Linked DNA regions of Drosophila melanogaster. The protein of the gene in region 1 purifies or fractionates together with the protein of each later gene. This does not show direct contact. Each region holds a gene or a part of one and is shown on either strand. Other genes may lie near its edges.

The links.
Region 2: the proteins of TpnC25D (region 1) and CG40045 purify together in Drosophila melanogaster (affinity purification with mass spectrometry, with the first as the bait; one large-scale study listed by BioGRID). This does not show direct contact.
Region 3: the proteins of TpnC25D (region 1) and CG10265 purify together in Drosophila melanogaster (affinity purification with mass spectrometry, with the first as the bait; one large-scale study listed by BioGRID). This does not show direct contact.

Annotation. Positions count from the first base shown.
Region 1 is NT_033779.5:5,214,755-5,220,040, reverse strand, and holds TpnC25D (troponin C at 25D), read right to left. Parts: upstream 2,250-5,286; 5' UTR 1,691-2,249; coding exon 1,688-1,690; intron 1,595-1,687; coding exon 1,177-1,594; intron 1,115-1,176; coding exon 1,086-1,114; 3' UTR 988-1,085; downstream 1-987. Other genes in the region: CG14034 (uncharacterized protein), read left to right, coding at 3,527-3,554, 3,604-3,706, 3,759-4,336, 4,399-4,567, 4,620-4,758.
Region 2 is NT_037436.4:24,026,079-24,035,376, forward strand, and holds the start of CG40045 (uncharacterized protein), read left to right. Parts: upstream 1-2,436; 5' UTR 2,437-2,599; coding exon 2,600-2,645; intron 2,646-2,732; exon of another isoform or gene 2,733-2,860; intron 2,861-4,676; coding exon 4,677-4,779; intron 4,780-8,799; exon of another isoform or gene 8,800-8,899; coding exon of another isoform or gene 8,900-8,940; intron 8,941-9,298.
Region 3 is NT_033778.4:14,991,054-14,996,158, reverse strand, and holds CG10265 (uncharacterized protein), read left to right. Parts: upstream 1-2,323; 5' UTR 2,324-2,407; coding exon 2,408-2,647; intron 2,648-2,730; coding exon 2,731-3,513; 3' UTR 3,514-3,636; downstream 3,637-5,105. Other genes in the region: pcs (parcas), read right to left, coding at 5,086-5,105.

The DNA.
Region 1 (5,286 bases):
TGTTTTTGTTCAACTTCTGTTGAATACGCAGTTCCGACCTTTTGTCCGGAAATTCATAGTTAGGTTCTAATCGTAAGTTGCTTGTACGTGAGCGGAGTAAAGCAGAGGATCCTTCAGAGGTGCCTATACTACGGTTACTTAAACCGTCGCACTGATTGTAAGCTAGAGTTTAGATATAAGTTGGCAGGAGCTAGTTACTAAGGCCCCTTGCAAAATCTTTGGTTAGAAAAATGCTTTAACTATTTGAGAAATATAGGGAGTATTTTGGATGACACCTATTCATGTCGATGTACATAAATATGAGATCAAAACAAAAAATCAATCGAAAGAATCGAAATTTATATGTAACATACATTAATTTTTGTGCCAGCTTTTGTACGCTTTAACTAAACGAGTTAAGTCGCCCATTCTTTGACCCCCGAGGCTTTAGCCTCAACATAGAACATGTCCTTATATGTTTTGTTTGTATCTAGTGTTTAAGTGTAAACTTTGCAGACTTTGTGCAAGTAAATGCTGCCTTTTGTAAAATCCACGGAATTAGTTGCCTTAAGACAAAGTGTAAAGACAGGAGCCAACAGACAGGAGCCCGACTCCCTTCCTCCCCTTTTAGTAGCACATATTTTTGTATTTATAACCAGAGATATATAGAACTGGCAGTTGCGTATCTCGAGAAGTGCACTTGTGTCGGCTCTTTTGTTTTGTGTAAATAGCAAAGATGTTTATAGGCCGCTAACCATACATATATATAGTATATATATTATATATTATCGTTATAAGCGATTCTGTAAATACTATATATGTATCTTTATCTGTAACCGTTTAACTTATATCTTATCGTTCTTATCATGTAACCTTGTTTAAGCTAGAGTTAGATGACTAGCCTGTAAGAGCAACAAGTAAACTATATGAACTAGATGGATATGTATCTTTCAGTTTTTTTTCTGTTTCATTATTACTGCTCGCAGACCACAAGAACTAAAGTTTTGTATTAAAGCGGTTAGTTAATTTATTTAAAAATAATAAAAAATTATAATTAAACCCAAAAGCTCGATTTTCTGTTGGTTTTATCAGCGTTCGTGGTTTTTCTACTCGCCCGCCATCATCTCCATGAATTCTGTGATCGAAAATGGCAATTAGTCAGCATCACATATTTGTTAATTACAAGGGAATACTTACCATCAAAGTCCACGGTACCGGATCCATCAGTGTCAATCTCAGCGATGATGCCGTCCAGATCGCTGGAGGAGAGCTTGTCGTCGAGGGCGGCGAGAATTTCCTTCAGCGTTGAGGTGGTGATGTAACCATTTCCCTCGCGATCGTACAGACGAAAGGCCTCTTTCAGCTCCTTCTGGATGGCCTCGGCATCCTCCTCTTCCAGGAAATGGGCAGCGATGCTGCAGAAGCCGTCGAAGTTAACCTTGCCGGTGTCCTCCGGATCGTTGTCGTCGATCAGAGCCTGCAGTTCGCTATCGTCGAACATCTGACCCATGCTGTTGAGGATCGTCTTCAGACGCAGCGTCTCAATGAAGCCCGTCTTTTGTGTGTCGAACATTTGGAATGCCTTGCGCATGATGTCCATTTTCTCGTCGTCCTCCTGCGGTTACCAAAAATTAGCCCGATCACATCATAATCGATTGCACAATATCCACCCGCCCAGAGAAATGCAAAAACAACACCCGATAGATACCATTTTGTATCTGTTGGCCAAACGACAATTTGCGAGCGAGCGAGTATTCCAATCTCCAATGCGTTCCAACTGCGTTGGCCTGCGGGCGCGCACTAAACCGATCGCCTGGCCAAGATCATTATTTATAAACAACAAATTTCGCTTAGTGGAAGCGTCACTCATACGCAGCGTTGTACACCTCGTCGGCAGAGGAGCAGCGGAGCAGAGCATCCCATCCATGGGTTATTGTTGGTTTGGCTTTTCGGCAAAACACTTTATTAACCAAGCCATTGGAATGTGAACTAGTGGAGGTGGCGGTGGGTACAGAGGTGTAGGTGAAGGTGGAGGCGGATGCGCAGACTGATTCTGGCCAGACGCTGATCTAAATCAGATCAAAGTGTTACAGGTGCACTGCCTGCCTCCTGTTGGTTGGGTTATTGGTTGGGTATTGGCTGGGGTTGGGTAAGGTGGGAGGGTACTGATGCCTTAAGGTCGGCGGCAGAACGGCGACGTCATCTCCATCATCTTTGGCGCTGGCAGCCGGAAAAACGAGCGCACAGCGCACGCCACAATTATGCAAAAGAGCAGCAGATACAACGGATACACCAGATACAGCACATACAGATACAGATACAGATACAGATACAGATATAGGTACACCCTCGCATCCATATTTCGGCGAGTTGAGATGTGTGCATGGCCTGGTCCGTCGGTCACTCAGTCAGTCACTAAAAATCGACTATAAACGTCTTCACAATCAGTCACAAAATCAGTGCGATTTTCTCACGGTAATTGTATTTTTAGTACTTTATAGCAATTTTTGTCCATATGATCATGAGTGTGGGCCAGATGCCGATGGCTGGTCCACAGCCAATTCCACAGGCTCTTTGCCGTTTGCTGACTACTTGCTGGCTACCCACTCTACCCATAGCCACTAGTGCTGCGGTTAACCACACACCCATCCGATCCTCAACCTCCATCCTCTCCACTTTGGTCTCGAAAAATGTTGATTTGGTTTTAGATTTTTGCTTTAAAACAAACAAACAGGCATTCAGGCTGGCAAATGGACATCACGCTAGATGGACAGGCCAATTGTGGGGGATGCTATGGTTCTTTGGGCATGGGTTCGGATTTGGATGCGAATTCGAATTTGGATAGTTCTGTATGAGTGGGTAACCTTCCGGCAGCGGCATTTTTTTTTTTGGCAAAGGCGCACAGTAGTGGCTTTGATGGTCATTTGAGTTTTATTATTTATGACAAAACGTGAAACACATTTGGAATGTCCCAGTGAGGTGACGGAATGGCACAATGGGAAGAGGGGTTGGGTTGGGTTGGGTTGGGTTGCTCTGGCGACCACAGTGCACTCACACAGTGGCACTTCGATTGTTTTTGCATAATTTTCAATGCCCAAAATGTGTATCTGTATAAATAGCTTGAGTTGAGTGTTGGCCACACTTGTGGCATAAGTTCTAATTCGAACGCTGACATTTTGGTGGCATGAAATTTAAGGCTAGATTTACGATGTAATTACCACTGCAAATTGTTCTGCCCAGGAGCGAAGTCAACCGCGAATTAATTAATTACTGACTTCCTATTTATTTTTAAATTGATTTTTAAAATTCTATTTCTGTTCTTTTTATAATTTAATCATATTTAACTTTTATGCAGAATTCCACTGCTATAATATTTTACTGCTCCTCCCTGGGCGCTACAGATGCACATATTTTGCAATTAGAAAAGCTTTCCGGTTACTTATTCGGTTGAACGAGACAAACTTAATTAAAAAGATTTTATGGAACCTAGAGCATATAAAGTCGGAAAATAAAAAAATCAGTAAAGGCCTCAACGGAATCGAAGAGAATGATGAATAACATCTTGGTCTTAATAGGTAATTCAGGCTGAGTTAATAATAAAGTCATAAAGTAATCGTGTTTTAGGCTTCTCGAGTGTTATGCTCGTTGCTGGCTTAGATGATATGAACTGTTTTTCCCTGCAAAACGAAATTTGTCCCAATGCCAACATTTCCTTTTGGCTATACACGTAAGATTAATGGTTTTATACTATGATTTTCATTATCTATCCGTATCTGCAGAAAAGAAAATCAGGAGGGAACTAAGCTTTCAGTTTTTGAACTTAATCGTTTTGAATTTTATCACCACAAACCGCTCAAGGTTCTGATCCATGGATTCAACGGGCACCGCGATTTCAGTCCCAATACCCAGCTACGTCCGCTGTTCCTGACACAGGATTACAATTTGATATCCTTGGATTATCCAAAACTAGCCTATGAACCCTGCTATACGGAAGCGGTGCACAATGCCAAATACGTAGCTCGCTGTACTGCTCAGTTGCTACGAGTACTCCTCGAGAGCGGATTGGTCAAAATTGAGGATCTGCACCTAATTGGCTTGGGCTTAGGTGCCCATGTCGCAGGCTTCATTGGGCAGTTTCTTCCGGAACACAAGCTGGAGCATATTACAGCCCTCGATCCGGCAAAACCATTTTACATGGTCAAGGATCCGGCTCTAAAGCTCGATCCCACTGATGCCAAGTTCGTGGACGTCGTGCACACGGATGTCACGATGCTTGGCTTACTGGATGCAGTGGGTCACGTGGACTTCTACTTGAACATGGGTGTATCACAGCCCAACTGCGGACCCATTAATAAGAGTTAGTAATATTAAGGCCATCTGCTTTACCTATATTTTTCATTTTCGTTGTTCTGACTTTAGTGGAGACTCATTTCTGCTACCATAACCGAGCAGCAGACTATTATGCCGAGTCTATTTCGTCACCTTCTGGATTCTATGGCTTCTACTGTCCCAATTTTAAAAGCTTCGCAAAGGGAATTTGCATTCCTGATAAAAATATAGAGCTGATGGGTTTTCACGTGGATCCGAAGTAAGTGCCAGCACCTATTTTTCCAGATCTCTTTTTATCTATTTAATTGCAGAGCCAGAGGCAGGTATTTTCTGGATACCAATAATGGTCCTCCTTATGCCAAGGGAGAGAACTTTACCTCAATAAGCCGCCAACTAAAAGGTCGAACTTTCGTGAACGATGATATTATAGATAAATTGATTGGAACGTAGTAAGGGATGCTATCCAAATCTTAAAACGAATATTTTTAATTCATAAATAAACATTGAATAATGTACCACATAGAGGATTATATATCTCTATTTTCGTGTAAAAATTTTTGCCATTTCAAAATCATATTTCGGCCTGGTCTAAATATTCAGGTGAAATACTTTCGACACTCTGACATGTTCAGGTGAGTTTGGCCCACCTTCGCAATCAACAGGAGGAGCCAACCCGACGACCACGTCAACAACTCGTTGGGCCAGGTGACAGATGCCAAGAAAAAGGAAAAGTTGCCGCCACTCAGTTTCAGTTTCAGCGTGTTTCGGTGTGCGTGAAAATAAATGTATATGGAAAGCAATTTCACGCGCCTCTGGCTTTTCATTCGAAACGAAACATAATGGAATTTCTTGGTTGCGAGGGGCGGCAAAACGAACGAATCAAATCACAACTAACGCGAAACTAGCAGCCAAACAAGTGTTTGCATTCCGTCGCCAAGAAGCGACGACAACCGAGGATGTGACTCGGAATCGAATCGA
Region 2 (9,298 bases), on another chromosome or scaffold:
TAAGTCTACTCTCATGCATTTCGAAACTATTCGAAAAATGCCTGCTGATCCGACTTAATCAACATCTGATATACCACAATATAATCCCAGCCCACCAATTTGGATTTCGCGAAAGCCACGGAACCATTGAACAGGTGAATCGTATTACAACGGAAATAAGAACTGCATTTGAATATCGCGAATACTGTACAGCAGTATTTTTAGACGTATCCCAAGCATTCGACAAAGTCTGGCTCGACGGCCTAATGTTTAAAATTAAAATATCCCTACCCGAAAGCACACACAAACTTCTAAAGTCTTACCTCTATGACAGAAAGTTTGCAGTGCGGTGCAACACTGCCACTTCCACTGTTCATACAATTGAGGCTGGAGTCCCCCAAGGCAGCGTTCTTGGGCCAACCTTATACCTCATCTATACAGCCGACATCCCTACAAATAGTCGCTTAACGGTATCCACATTTGCCGACGATACAGCTATCCTTAGCCGTTCAAGGTCCCCTATCCAAGCTACAGCACAGTTGGCACTGTACCTCATCGACATTGAGAAGTGGCTCTCTGACTGGCGAATAAAAGTAAACGAGCAAAAATGCAAGCACGTGACGTTTACGCTAAACAGACAAGACTGTCCTCCGCTCTTGTTGAACAGCATACCACTCCCGAAAGCAGACGAGGTAACGTACCTAGGAGTACACCTAGACAGAAGACTCACATGGCGCAGGCACATTGAAGCCAAAAAAACCCAACTTAAACTCAAAGCCAACAACTTACACTGGCTCATCAACTCTGGTTCTCCGCTCAGCCTAGATCACAAGGTCTTGCTCTACAATTCTATATTGAAACCAATCTGGACCTATGGCTCACAGTTATGGGGCAATGCCAGCAACAGCAATATTGACATCATTCAGCGAGCACAATCAAAGATTCTGAGAACCATCACTGGGGCACCGTGGTACGTTCGGAGTGAAAACATCCAAAGAGACTTAAATATCCCATCAGTTACCAACGCAATCACGGAACTTAAGGAAAAATACCATAGCAAGCTTCACACGCACCCCAACCACCTAGCGCGAGGTCTAATCCAGCTCAGCAGCCGTTCCCGTCTCCGGCGAAAGGACCTACCAACCCAGCGAATAAATTATTAGGGCCGTTTAAACATAGAACAGTTGGAAAAATAATACAACTGTTCAAAAAATACTTGTTATAGTTAAGATTTTTAAACTTATTGTTAGTTCTTATACAAGAAGATTCAATAAATAAAAGCAAAGTAAAAAAAAAAAAAAAAAAAAAAAAAAAAGTTAAAATAATGATGAAATTAGTTTTAATGCTGTAAGATCGCCTACATAAATAATAACTGCTAACATTCCCCTGTTGAAGTTTGTCGTTAATAACATATTTACACATTATTCATAATTAAAGTAAATATAGATATAAATCGGCAATATATTCGAGCGGAGAATTTAACAATAGAGTATAAAAAATCTTCGTTAAAATAATTATAGTTACGGCATATATTTTTTAATAATATTTCATCCTGTCATATTGCAACGACATTGGCCAAAACTCGAAATCTGTAAATTTGTTTCTTAGATCAAAATTGATATCGGCCCGCAAACCGATAGAAGAGTGCGTAGAAAAATAAGTGGGACTTAAAATATTGACGAGAACCACAGTGGAACCCAGCCAATCTATTTAAAAACTCATATGGAAAACAATTGGTTCTTACACTGAATATGCGTTTCGCGATTTTTAAAGCATTTTATACGTTTGTTAGGGATAGGGTTAAAAAATATTCTTGCATTTCAATGTTTTTTGGTCGGTATCGTATATGTGGGCAACTGCTGTAACTGTAATCGGCTCACAAAAGCTCTGCAATAATTTATTTATGTTGTTATTAATCATAGCTTCAATACCATAAATAAGAAAATTATAAGCAAATTAATAATATGTTGTTCATTCAATAAACTTGTTTATTTCCAATCCAATTACAGTGGTTTGTTATCAAGAGCAAGCATGTTGTCTATTCTATTCTATTTTGAACTTGTGTTGGTATTTATAAATTTTAATCCTCATAAATTTTGATAACATATATTTTTAAATAAACAAAAGAATACAGAAAGGTTAAGGTAAGGATGATATCTACAGAACTTTTTACAAATTTAACCGCAAAGTCTATTGGCATACATTAAACCGGGCTTAGTACCAGCCATACGGCAAACTCTGCTGGCAATATGTGATGATATTAACCGTTTTTCTTCATTTTGGGATTGCCCCTTATATTTTTTTTGTAAGTATAGGATTTGTATATATATATCCCCGGTACCTGTTAGCCAACCAGAAGCAGTCAAACGTAGTGTAAATGTAATATAAGTGTAGTTGGAAACAAGTGTTATTGTGTCACATTCGTCTTCACAGGAGCTAGATCTGTGTTAAACTTGTATAACTAGTTCTTTTTTATGTTTGGCCTTTATAGAAAATTCGGTGGTCGATGTCGATCATTATATTTACTTTCAATACTAACTTATTTTTAAGCATACAATTTTTATTTGTGTTAATTACTTGTGCGTTAAACTGAACCAATTCATTTATCATACAACTTAGAATGTCTGAACTTCAGTCATCTTTACTGTTAAAAAAACAATTGGCAGGTAAGTTTAACAACTTCAAACGTATATAAATGAGCAAGAATGTATATATAAATGTTTTTACATATGTATATGAAATTATTTTTCCAGTCTTGCACATGTGGTTTTAAAATTGGTGCAAAAACCATAAGCTGGCAATGCTCAACCAAATACATATATTATGTGTAATATGAGTGCACATATGTAATTTGTAGCTTAAATATTACCTATATCTTAAGGTAATTTTAATAAATTCTTGTTCTTTTTTGTAAAGTTAATAGTATACTCTTACATAGGATAATAAATGTGTATATGCGCCAATACATATATGTGTAAATATTTGTGTCTACCCTTCTTTTTAAAAATCTCGTGGTATATATTATTATGTACTCAAATTAATGATAAAATTTGAGCAGGAGTTTGCTTAATATGCCGAAAAGATAAATTTATATATGTGTATGAAGGTACACATAATATATATTACTTTCTAACTCTAATAAATGCTTACATCTACACATATGTGTGTATGTATATACAAATTTTGGTAGTGTTCCCTTCACTGCCTTAAATTAAAATTTTTGGAAAGAAATTGTTTTCTAATGATTTAGACATTCAACAACACTTAAAGACTTGGCCGAATGATAGATATATTATTATCATATTTTTGTTAACACTCTACAAAGTTATGGTTAATTGATGTTCAAGGTAACCTAATAAAGCATTTATGTTATTTGTAGGGTTAAACAATGTTCATTACAACCTTTACAATGCTTAGCCCATTTCTTATTTTCAGCCATTAATCGCGAATAGCATTTTGCTACAGGGGCAACAGTATTTTAAAACAAATGAAACCATATACTTTGTTATTTAATCGAACATGTCAACAATGGAATGAGCTTTTTAAATTCGTTTGACTCATACTACTAACTAAAAAATGTATTTATGTATGTATATGTGATTTTTTATATACATATGTATGTATATGTTTATACATATGTTTTTATTCTATAATAAAAATTATTAATTTGTTAATTTGTTTGTGATCGCTAGAGGGAGTCACTAGCATCTACATGCTTTATTTTATCTTTCTATAATTTTCCATCAAGATCTCGACAATCATAAGGACGGATAGACAGATATCGCTAGATCGACTCGAATAGTGATCATGATCTAGAAATATTTACGTTTTAGAGTCAGATTTACTCTTTTTCACCTGTTTCAAACTTTTCATATTATCTTAAATTCATATGTGCAGTTGAAACAACAACCCTAAGAGAGCGTGCATTACGCACACACGTATATTTAAATCCATAAGTGGATTCAACCTGTAAGAGACTGGACATAAAACTTTACTGTACATCGCCGAATCTTTAAATTTGTTGTTTACTTTTTGTTCAGTTTATTGTGGGTTGTAATTTCTATTGAAGTTTCGGCACGTCGACTGTAATCGCCCAACCACGCCAAACTTTTTTAAAAAATATGTTCTCATTTATATATTTTCCCATTTTTCATGTCAATTTTTATCGATTTGCCAAAAGAATTTTAATAGAATATAGAGAATATAGATATAATATTCTTGTTTTCAAATAATTTGACAGTCCAATTCTTTTAGTCGACCATCAGAAAACTGAAAAATTCTTACTTGTGAAACATGCTAATTTTACAGAATTATAGAATAATTTAAATTTCGACTGGGAAACCAAACCATTTTTCGATGGTGGGCGTGACAGTTTATTACGGCTTGTGGGCATTAGATTACGCAAAAACCAGTGGCAAAAACCAAAAGGAATATGCATGTTAAATTTAATTTTCTAGCTCATGACAAATTATCCTGAATATACATACATATATACTTTTTACGATCAGAAACGGTACCTTCTACTGTTATATACAGTTTAACAAATTTGACATATCCTTCTTTTCAACGTCTAAGTGGTATAGTCATAATCCAAAATAAAATAGGTCCTCGCCGAACGTATTTAAAAAAATACAACCTACGGAACCAGATTGTTACACGTGATTACTAAAAATTAATAATTATTTTTATCTTTTCAGAACTAAACAAGAATCCAGTGGAAGGATTCTCCGCTGGTTTAATTGATGAGAATGATATATTTCGCTGGGAAGTTTTAATAATTGGACCGCCAGATACACTGTAGTATGCTATGAACATTGTATTCTTTTTCGTTTAAAAAATCATATTTATGCAACAATCACTGTAGACGCTATTCCAATCAATGTACGTCAAAGCGAAAACTAGACATACATGAAGCAATGAAATTCTGTTGTGGCTGTCCCATTGACACCAACAAAAACAAAAGAGAATGCTCTAATCGAGTTCCCCGACTATCAGATACCCGTTATTCAGCTAGAGTGAAAGCGAACGCGAAATTTCATAATTTTTTCTGAGATATCGATAGATATTGAGGAATAAAATGAGAAAACAAATTATAAAGTTGTTCAAAAGGGTGGGCGTGACCGGTTTGACGGCTTTAGGGCGTTAGATTAGGCGTGCCAAAAAGTTTTGATAAATTGATAAAAATTTACAAGTCTTATAAAAATATGAAAAATATCCAAAACATTTTCAACAATGTGATCGAGGCAGGTTTGGGCGGTTTTAGTGCGTAAGAGTGGGGGCACAAACATTTTTTTTCAAATCGATAGAAATGTACAAGACTCATAGACTCATTTTAAATAATGGTTTAGACATAAGAGAGTTGAGATTGGGCATGCAGATGTAGAATCAGAAAACATTGATTTCCACTCACAAAAGCGTAGCAACCATCTTAAACAAGCTTAACTTATAGTTCTGAGATCACAGATCAAAAATTTGAGAAAGCTGGAGCCAGCTTCAGAGACAACATCAAAAAGTCGTGTGCGAAAAAAATCGTATGACGTTACGCAATTTGTTATTCTAATGTCTTCAGTTCATAAGTGTTATTACAAACAACAATTTTTTGTTGGGTTCGGGGTGAGTAAAGATCGCGAGATTTTTCGATTCTACAGCCGTGTCTTTTTCTGTAGGAGTTTGTCCATCACTACATTTAAACCAATGATGAAATTTCAATGTTTTATGTGCATACGAGCATAATTCGAGAAGTACTACGACATGAAGGCATTCAGGGAATGCTTCTTTATTCATTCCCTGAAATGCCTTTGTAAGAATTCCCTGAAAGGCTTCTCGATATCATATGTATGTACATGTAATATTAGATGTACATTTGCGGTAACAATAATAGCACCATAAGCACATTTCGTGTTTGTCCCATCGTTTCTGTATTTTCTGACACTTTTTCATTATTTTACTCACTAAACTTAAATACTACAATGATTTTCAATCGAAATAACGAAATTAGTAACAGATCTAATGGATATTTTAAAAATAAGTGGTAAAACGAAAAAACCTTCATATTTAGGCGGTAACAAAAATAGCACTGTTTCTCGTAGTTTGCTAAAGCTAACCAAAAAAATGAAAAAATAATTCAACAAATGGATTATATCTTAAGAACTATGTTTAAAGAATCTTAATATTTGGTTGCGTGACCTTTGGTGCCAATGACAGCCGCCCAATGTCTTGGCATGGAGTCCACCAAGTCCTGGCACCGTTATTGAGGAATTTTGCTCCCTGAATCCTTGACCACACCCCAAAGTTCCTCGTTATTATTGGGTTTGACTTCAGAAACCTTTTTTTCACGTTCGCCCAAAGGTTTTCGATTGGATTCAAGTGACTGAGCAGGCCATTTCATTACTCTTATCGATTTCTGCTCTTTCGAGCTTTCTTGCTCGTCTGTTTTGGGTCGTTATCCTGTTGAAATGTCCAAACCAACGGCGGTGGACGCCGAACATAAGACCGAGAGCCTTTCCCACCAAGCAACACAATTTTGCTCTCATCTGACCACAAAATGTTGTGCCACTTCTCCACAGGCCAGTCCTTGGAAATCTTGTCATATTCGATTCGCTTTGCGACATGCTTAACAGTCAAAAGCGGGACTTTTCTGGGGCTGCACGCATTAAGGTTGCTTTGTCCTAAGCGTTTGCGAACAGTTTCCACGCTTTTAGCTATCTGAAGCTCCTTCTTCCATGTTTCGTTCTTTTCGACAAACAGCAGTGCTTTGCGGATCATTTTGTTTCAGCAACCGACAATGCGACCAATTTCAGAGTAGGTTTTACCTTCAGAGATCATGTTTTTAATCAAATTTCTTTTTTCGACGGTACAATGCTTTCCGCGACCCATGACTAGAGAATTTTTGGTCTTCGTTTGGAAAAAATTCAATTAAAACCTTTAGTGCAACTCCGTTTTTCAAAATTTGTCGAAAAAAAACCAAAGTAATCACCCCTATTAATTTTATTCAGCAAATACGTGGTCAGTGCTATTTTTGTTACCGCCTCATTTTGGGCACTTTTGCAGCAAGTGCCCAAAAACAAAAAAGAACCGTTACATTGAAAGAGTAAAAATTTCTTGCTTAGAGATGCAACATATGGTACTTATTATTCATGCAATCTGACTTTAAAAAAAATAAACATTTAATAATTTTTTTTTACGAAATCAACTTTCCACCTGCAGTAGTGCTATTATTTTAAACGCAGCTGTATATACAAAAGTTACGCTTTAGATTGGCCATCAAATAGTCCAGATCTAAGTCCCATAAACAATTTTGGTGGCTAATAAAAAGAGATCTTTGAAATGAGCCACAAAGGAACATTTCGGTCTTTAAATGAAGTTGTAAGCGATGTGAGACTCGATTTCTCGAGGACATTGCCAAAACTTTTTAAAATCAACGCCAAAACGTGTGGCGACGTTATACAATTCTAATATTAATAAATTTGTTATATTACGCAGCGTTTGAATTAATAGTGGTTATTTTTTCTTATCTCTTAAGTCTACCTTTTGAGTAAATAACTCATATTTTTGTTGTTGAAACTAGATCAAACTGCTGAACAAACTGCTATAGTAGTATTGAAAAAATTCGCCTACTGTTCAGATTAATAGTGGTTGGGGCTCGTATGCCCAGTAGCTAATGTTTAATCAAAGACACTAGAATAACAAGATGCGTAACGGCCATACATTGGTTTGGCACTATGCAGCCACTTTTTTAGTGACGGCCAAAATTGCTCTCTTTCTGCTCGCTTACGCTGAGAACGTAAGAAATCTAAAAATAGAATTTGCTTGCTTGTGTGACTTAAATGCGAAATATTTCTTTTGAAATACTTTTAATGTTAAATGACTTAATAAATATACTAAATAATTAAAGGAAGTACAATAGAAATTATTATAACTACTGTAATTTCATAAATTTCATAAGAATATGATAACTGTTTATTGCAAAAGTCATATCAAAGACACTAGAATTATTCTAGTGTCTTTGCTTTGGTCATATCTTATCAACAAGCATTGCCTTATTAATTTTTCACACGCCGCAAGATGAATACTCTAATGACAAATATTCTTATATAAAGTCAATTTTTAAATTTATTTTGTGATAATATGTACATAGATTTGGCTTTTTCTAATCTATTTTCAAAAAACAATAATAACGTTAAGGCAATGCAAAACAAGAATTTTTCGAATGGTGCCAATTGATCAAAAATAATATAGATTTAAAGTCAAAGAACTTCTAAGGTGAAGGGCATATTTTGTCAAATTAAAATGCATGAGCATACGTGTGCACACATACAGTTGTCTGCTATCACTTTATGCGCTGAAAAGACCTGTTCGCTGTAGCGCTCTCCGCTCTCTCGCTCTCTACCAAAAATTCGAGAGAGCCTGGAGCCACCTCTAGAGCCACGGCGAAAAAATCGTGTGCCAAAAAATCGTATGGCGTTACGCATCTTGTTATTGTAGTGTCTTTGCTTTAATCCTACAATACGCCTCCATGGTCAGCTGGATAATGTGATTTCTCCAAATACAGTAATGAAAAATGCAATTATTTACTGCACAGCTCCGTATGCTACAAGATTTTTCGAGCAATCGATGCTCACCAAATTGGTGAAAACTGCTTACTCCATTTAAAATCGTAGCTCCAATATAGAGTATACTACTGCGTTATTCTGGTCCCTCCAAGCACTTAAGCTGGTCCATTCCATTTCCATTTCAAAAGACCATAGAGGATGGAACCTTTTATAATTTCACTGCATAAAAAATAAAGCAACTCGGATATTACCTATTATCATTTTATAGCTAAACTAAGTACCTTCCTTTAAACGTGTACTTACTAAAAGACGATCATGAGTTCACCACCTTTGTTGGCCAAGGCCGCCTGTCAGGACCGTCTTCAGGAATGTTTTTCAATCGGTTAATTATAACCTACTGTTCACCAAGGTACATCTCTGATTTCCTTCTGCCCGCTAATATGAATTCAATCCTACTTAACGAACCGTATTCAAATATAACATATTTGGAAATAGGGTGACTGACTGTGAAGTCTCGGTTATTTTCAGGCATGCTTTTTGTCCATTATTATTCGGTCTGCTTATTAACGATATTTCTCACGTCTTATGAATACGGGTGGCCTTATGTTGTGATTGCGCATAGTCTTATTCATTTAAGCAGCTTAAGTTCGACTTAAATTACTCGGTTATATTTTTCCCGCTCTCTCACACTTCCATTCCAAAACCGGGTGTCTAAAAGTCTTGTCACTTGTATGTAACTCCCATTACTAAAATACGATTTTTTTATA
Region 3 (5,105 bases), on another chromosome or scaffold:
ATGTTGAAAATAGTGCCAGCGAAAAGTGGGGAAGAGAACTGTGATGGGGTGGCCTTAGTTAATTCGCAGTCCACAACAATGCAACAGCAACAACACCAACATCAACAACAACAGCAACAACAACATCTGTGGCAATTGTAGCGCCAGCTTTTCTATTGTATTATGACAGCAGCTGCACCTGCAAGTATGCAGTGATTGTGATTCTTTGCTTTCATTTTTTTTGCTAGTTCACTCGGCTGCGAAACCCCTTGAAAAACAGTAAACAAAGAGCAGGACAATAGTGGACGGGTGGTGGGTGGTGGGCGGCTGGGCGGACAGATGGGTAGGTGGTAATGCCCTGCCATGGCATGTGTTCATTGTCCAAGAGCAGTTCATGCCTGGTTACGCATCCCTATGTGTGTGTGTGTGCCAGTGAGTGTGTGTGTGTGTGGTGGGGTGCAGGACAGGTCGGGGGGCAGTTGGCATATCAACTGGTCGGACATGGTGTAAACACGTTTAATGTTGTTGCCATTGTCGTTGCCGTTGCCATTGCCATCGCATGGCTGCAGTTGCTCCTCCTGGCAAGCTGGCTGGCTGGCGAGCCCTCGGAGTCACGGAGCCATGCAGCCATGGAGCCATGGAGCCACCTAGCCACGGAGCTCGTCCTCTTCTGGCGCCGTCTCCTTTGCCACGTTTAATTTAATCTACTGGCCAAAGCTGCAGCCGCTACCTTGACATGGTCTGCACTTCAATCTGCATGCACGGCGTACAGTGGTGCCTGGCTATATCCAAACTGTTAGCAGCCAACAAGCTAGTTTCGAATTGTGTCTAATTTGTGTAGAAGCATCACAGCACAGTCAGGCGTTTTAAGGGAAGCTAATATCTTCTATTTAGGATCAGTACAATAAACAATACAAATAATAACAGTTATATACTTTAAGCGGTATCCACTGTAGTTTGCGTCCTGGCTGCTCGAGTGCACCGCAGGTCCATTTAACTTAGCTTTGGCAGTGGCAGTTAGTAGTAGTAGTAGTAGTGGCAGTGGCAGCGGCAATGGGGTTCCAGCTAGCTGGCCACCTTCTCCGCTTCCTCGACTTGGTGCATCACTCAAATGCCGGGGAGCCCCGCAGGCCCCCAAACGAGGCGACAGGAATGCGTGTGTGTAGCAGAGCGTGTGCAAGTATGAGTGTGGGCAACGTAATTTGCATGGTCAGCTTGCAGTTTTGGGACACACAGAGTGGCAAGTTGTGCCTCGCTCTCGTCCCTGGCTTAATTGCATGCAGGAATAGCAACTGCAGGAGCAGCCTCATCAGCATCGGCAACTTCATCCAATTGCCGCTGGAGCTGCGACCCACAGATCCATACAATTTCCGGGCTGTAAGCGATGCGGCTCTTTAAAGTTCACTTATTAAGTTGCAAGAATAGCAGGAAAATTCAACCAAAAGTGGGCCAGTTTGAAAAATATCAAGAATATGCCAACGATACTCACCTACGCTCTGCCGGGTGATTATGCTGCACGTGGTTCGACATGGTCCGTGCTCGTTATGCGGAACATTACAACAACAAAAAAAAAAAATTTAATATATATGTAGGTACGCAAAAAGTGCTGGATTTCCTTTTCATTTGTTTTCCACACACACTAGACAGACATTCGAGTTGAAGTCAAAATCAGACAATGTTCCCTCCATATGGCTCCATATCACATTGGTCGAAAAAATGGCAAGCTTACAAATGGCGCAGTCCCCGGCTGCATAAACGATGTCATTTTTTGGATTGCCCAATTTTTTTTTAGGTAGCTTGCGAATCATTTGCAAGCGATTTAATTTCAATTGCATGGGCGTTAATCAAAGGAAACAAAAGCCAACACGGGAAAAAGAACAAAGAAAACGCTAGTCCACTTATTCGACAATGTAAAAGAAAGCAGAGAGTTACTATTAATGCAGCAAAAAATGAGCAGGAGCAGTTCAAATAAAATCTTTCCAGTAATTTTCGATTCATGGACCAAAAACCGTAAACAAAAAAATCGTTCTATTTTACATAGTGAAAGTATGTTTTCATCTATTTTTTATCAATCTGAGCAAAACTACATATAAACATAAATTATTTATATAATATTTATATTAAATTATTCCAAACATTTTATTATACCATTTATATATCGTCATCCTTATCAAATCTTATATCTAAATGTTTTTTTTTTTAATGTGTAATGTGTTTTTCCTATTTGGTTTTTTGTGTGCTTTGAATTTAGGCGCGCAACAAAATGAATAGCAACTGTTTGGTATTTTTATGTCAGATTTTGTACCAACTAAAAATCGTTGACATCTACTACGTTTCAACGTCTGGCCACTCTGCACGAATGCAAAAACAAACTGAAATAATTTTTTAATACCATTTTTCTTCTTGGCGCGAATTGGCTACAAAAAAAATGAATGGATCGCGTAAAATAAAGTCCATGAAGACGATTCGCCTTGGCGACGTTCTATACGACGACCAAAAACGACTTCTAACGCTGTGCCGCAGCTGCGAATGCCACTTTATGACGCTCCAATCGTTCCAACGCCACCTAGCCGATTGCCCCGGAGTAAAATACATAGTAACGCCGATCGAACCGCTGGCATTTGATGATGCCAATCGGGAAACGAGACTGGTGAATGGCAGACAGGAGGTAGGCAGCTAAGGGAGCTCCATGATCCGGCGTTGCCCTGAAAACTTCCTGAGAATCCTTTTGATTGAACTCACTTCTTGCAGATTCACATCTACGACCTGGAGGCGGTTAAGAAGAACACCAACACGGCCATCGATTGGGAGGCAGAGCTGGAGGATCCACGCTGGTACACCAATCCCAAGCCCACCGTGCAGACCATACCAAAGACAAATTCCAAGGAAAATATAGTAAAGGAGGATGTAGTGCCGCTCGCCAAGGAGCCTCAGGAACCGGAAGGGGTGCCTGCGAAACGTCCGCGTAGCCCTCCCACCACCCGACGTACCATTCTGACCTCCCAGCAGCAGCGCAGATCCCGTGCCTGCTTGACTTCCCCTCAACCGCCAGCAGTAAAGATGAAAAAGGCCATCATTCTGGTGCCCACTGTGCTGGAAGATCTGAAGCGATTGCAGGACACGGAGAAAAAGGAAAGGATTCCAGAGGCACCACCAGCTCCTGTACATCCTGTAAGGTCATTGCAATCTCGTGCTACCGGGACAACGCAGTCAACATCTCAATTGGTACCCATGAAATTTTCTCCTGCATCGAAGCTTATTATACCAGTCTCTTCAAGGATATCTGAAGTACCAGAACCTCCCAAGACGCCCGAGAAACCAGTTCCTACCATAACAAGCAAATCAACTCCTCCATTGGATGGCACCCAGAAAATCCTAAACAAACTCAGAGCATGCGGTGTGGAGGTGAAGCGAGCAAGTACCCAATTGAATGCCACGACTGAGCTAAATCCAACCAAAAATCAAGAGACCTTGGACATCATGAGAAAACTGCAATCCAAGGGCATCAGATGCACCAAAGTAAGAAAATCGTAGTTGTATTCGCCGTAGTGTAAGGATGGTGCCATTAAATGTGCCTCTGGAGGCGAGGATTTAGCAATATAACTTTATTTAATTTAAATGGAGATTAATAAATTCCCGGATAGCGTTTATAACTTTAATAGCAAGCGAGTCTCTTTATTATCAAATCGCTTAATTTTAAATGTTTTATTTTGGTTTTTTTGCTCAAGCAGTGTGACCTTTTGATGCGACAACGTTATCGATTTAATATATCGACTATACACTAGTGGTGGCTATTTAGCTTATAAATGTATTGAACTATATTAAATAATTAAAACTATATATCACTCAAACAATGCCGTTTAAATACTTTGAAGACGGTAATCACATGTTCCATACAAAATGTTAACAGTCCTAGCTTTTTTTATGTTGTCCATTTATGTAGCTGAAAAGTTGGCATCACTGTGTAAGAAGAAGAAGCAGCTTGTTGATTTTTGGTGCCGCACGCGTTTCGGTCGAAAGTAATTGGAAATATTTGTGCTTGCGCCCGGCGTTATATATATTTTGTAGTACTCGAAACACTGCCGAATCCAAATCCAAAATTCGCGTGTGCACACCCACCTGCCGAGGCGGTACCAATTAAAAGGTAGGTCAGCTGACGACGATGGCAGCCAATTCGGGCTTACATAATTTGGGGACAGAATATTTATTTTGCCACCTTAGATTTGGCATTCAATGCAGTGAAAATGACATCATTTTGAAATTTTTAGAACCGCTTGTGTTTTGTTTGGTGAATTTTATAATATTTGCAATATTTCGGCTGCAGTTGCATCATTGACAGCGAACCTTAAGTTTAGTTCTCTGTAAAGGTCACCAAGCCCAGACTTAAAAAACAGATGTTTTTTAACAATCTTGGTACGTCCCACTACTAAAGCACTTATAATTTAATATACATTTAATCCGCCAGTAAAACACCTATAAATTTGAATTAGAATTCAATTTTATTCTCATTTCAAGTTTCAATATTATTTCTATTTCAAATACTTGTAGTTCATTTCCTTACTTAACTCTCGGGCACCGAACAAAACTGCATTGCATTTTCCTTTTAATAATCCACTACATTTAGCTTTGAGAGTTTCAGGCTTAATTATCTAATTGAATTCGTTACATTTCGACACTTGTTTTTATTCAGAGTTTCATTTTCGTGGTATTTTTAGGCTAAACTACTTAGTGCATGTGCCCATTTGAATTAAATTAGTGAGTCTACCTGGGTTTATTAGTTTAGGGTTTTAACATTAACTTAAAGCTGCTTATTGTTTGCATATCATTCAATCCTTTTCTTTTTAGCTCTCTCGAATCACAAAACATTTACATAGTTAAAGTATTAACAGTGAGAAACATATACGGAGACAATAGATTAGAATGTAATCAACATTTATACGAAAATAGTTGGTGTTTATATCCTGTGGGTGTAGAGACTTATCGATAGTGGTGCACATTTAAATGCGGCGTTCAACGTTTTACAATTACTTTTCATTATTCATTTAATATAAACAAATCTGATATGGGGCTGGCTGAAGAAGTCTCCTCTGGCCCCCTAGTTGCTCACTATTCCAGAGAGCGCCTAC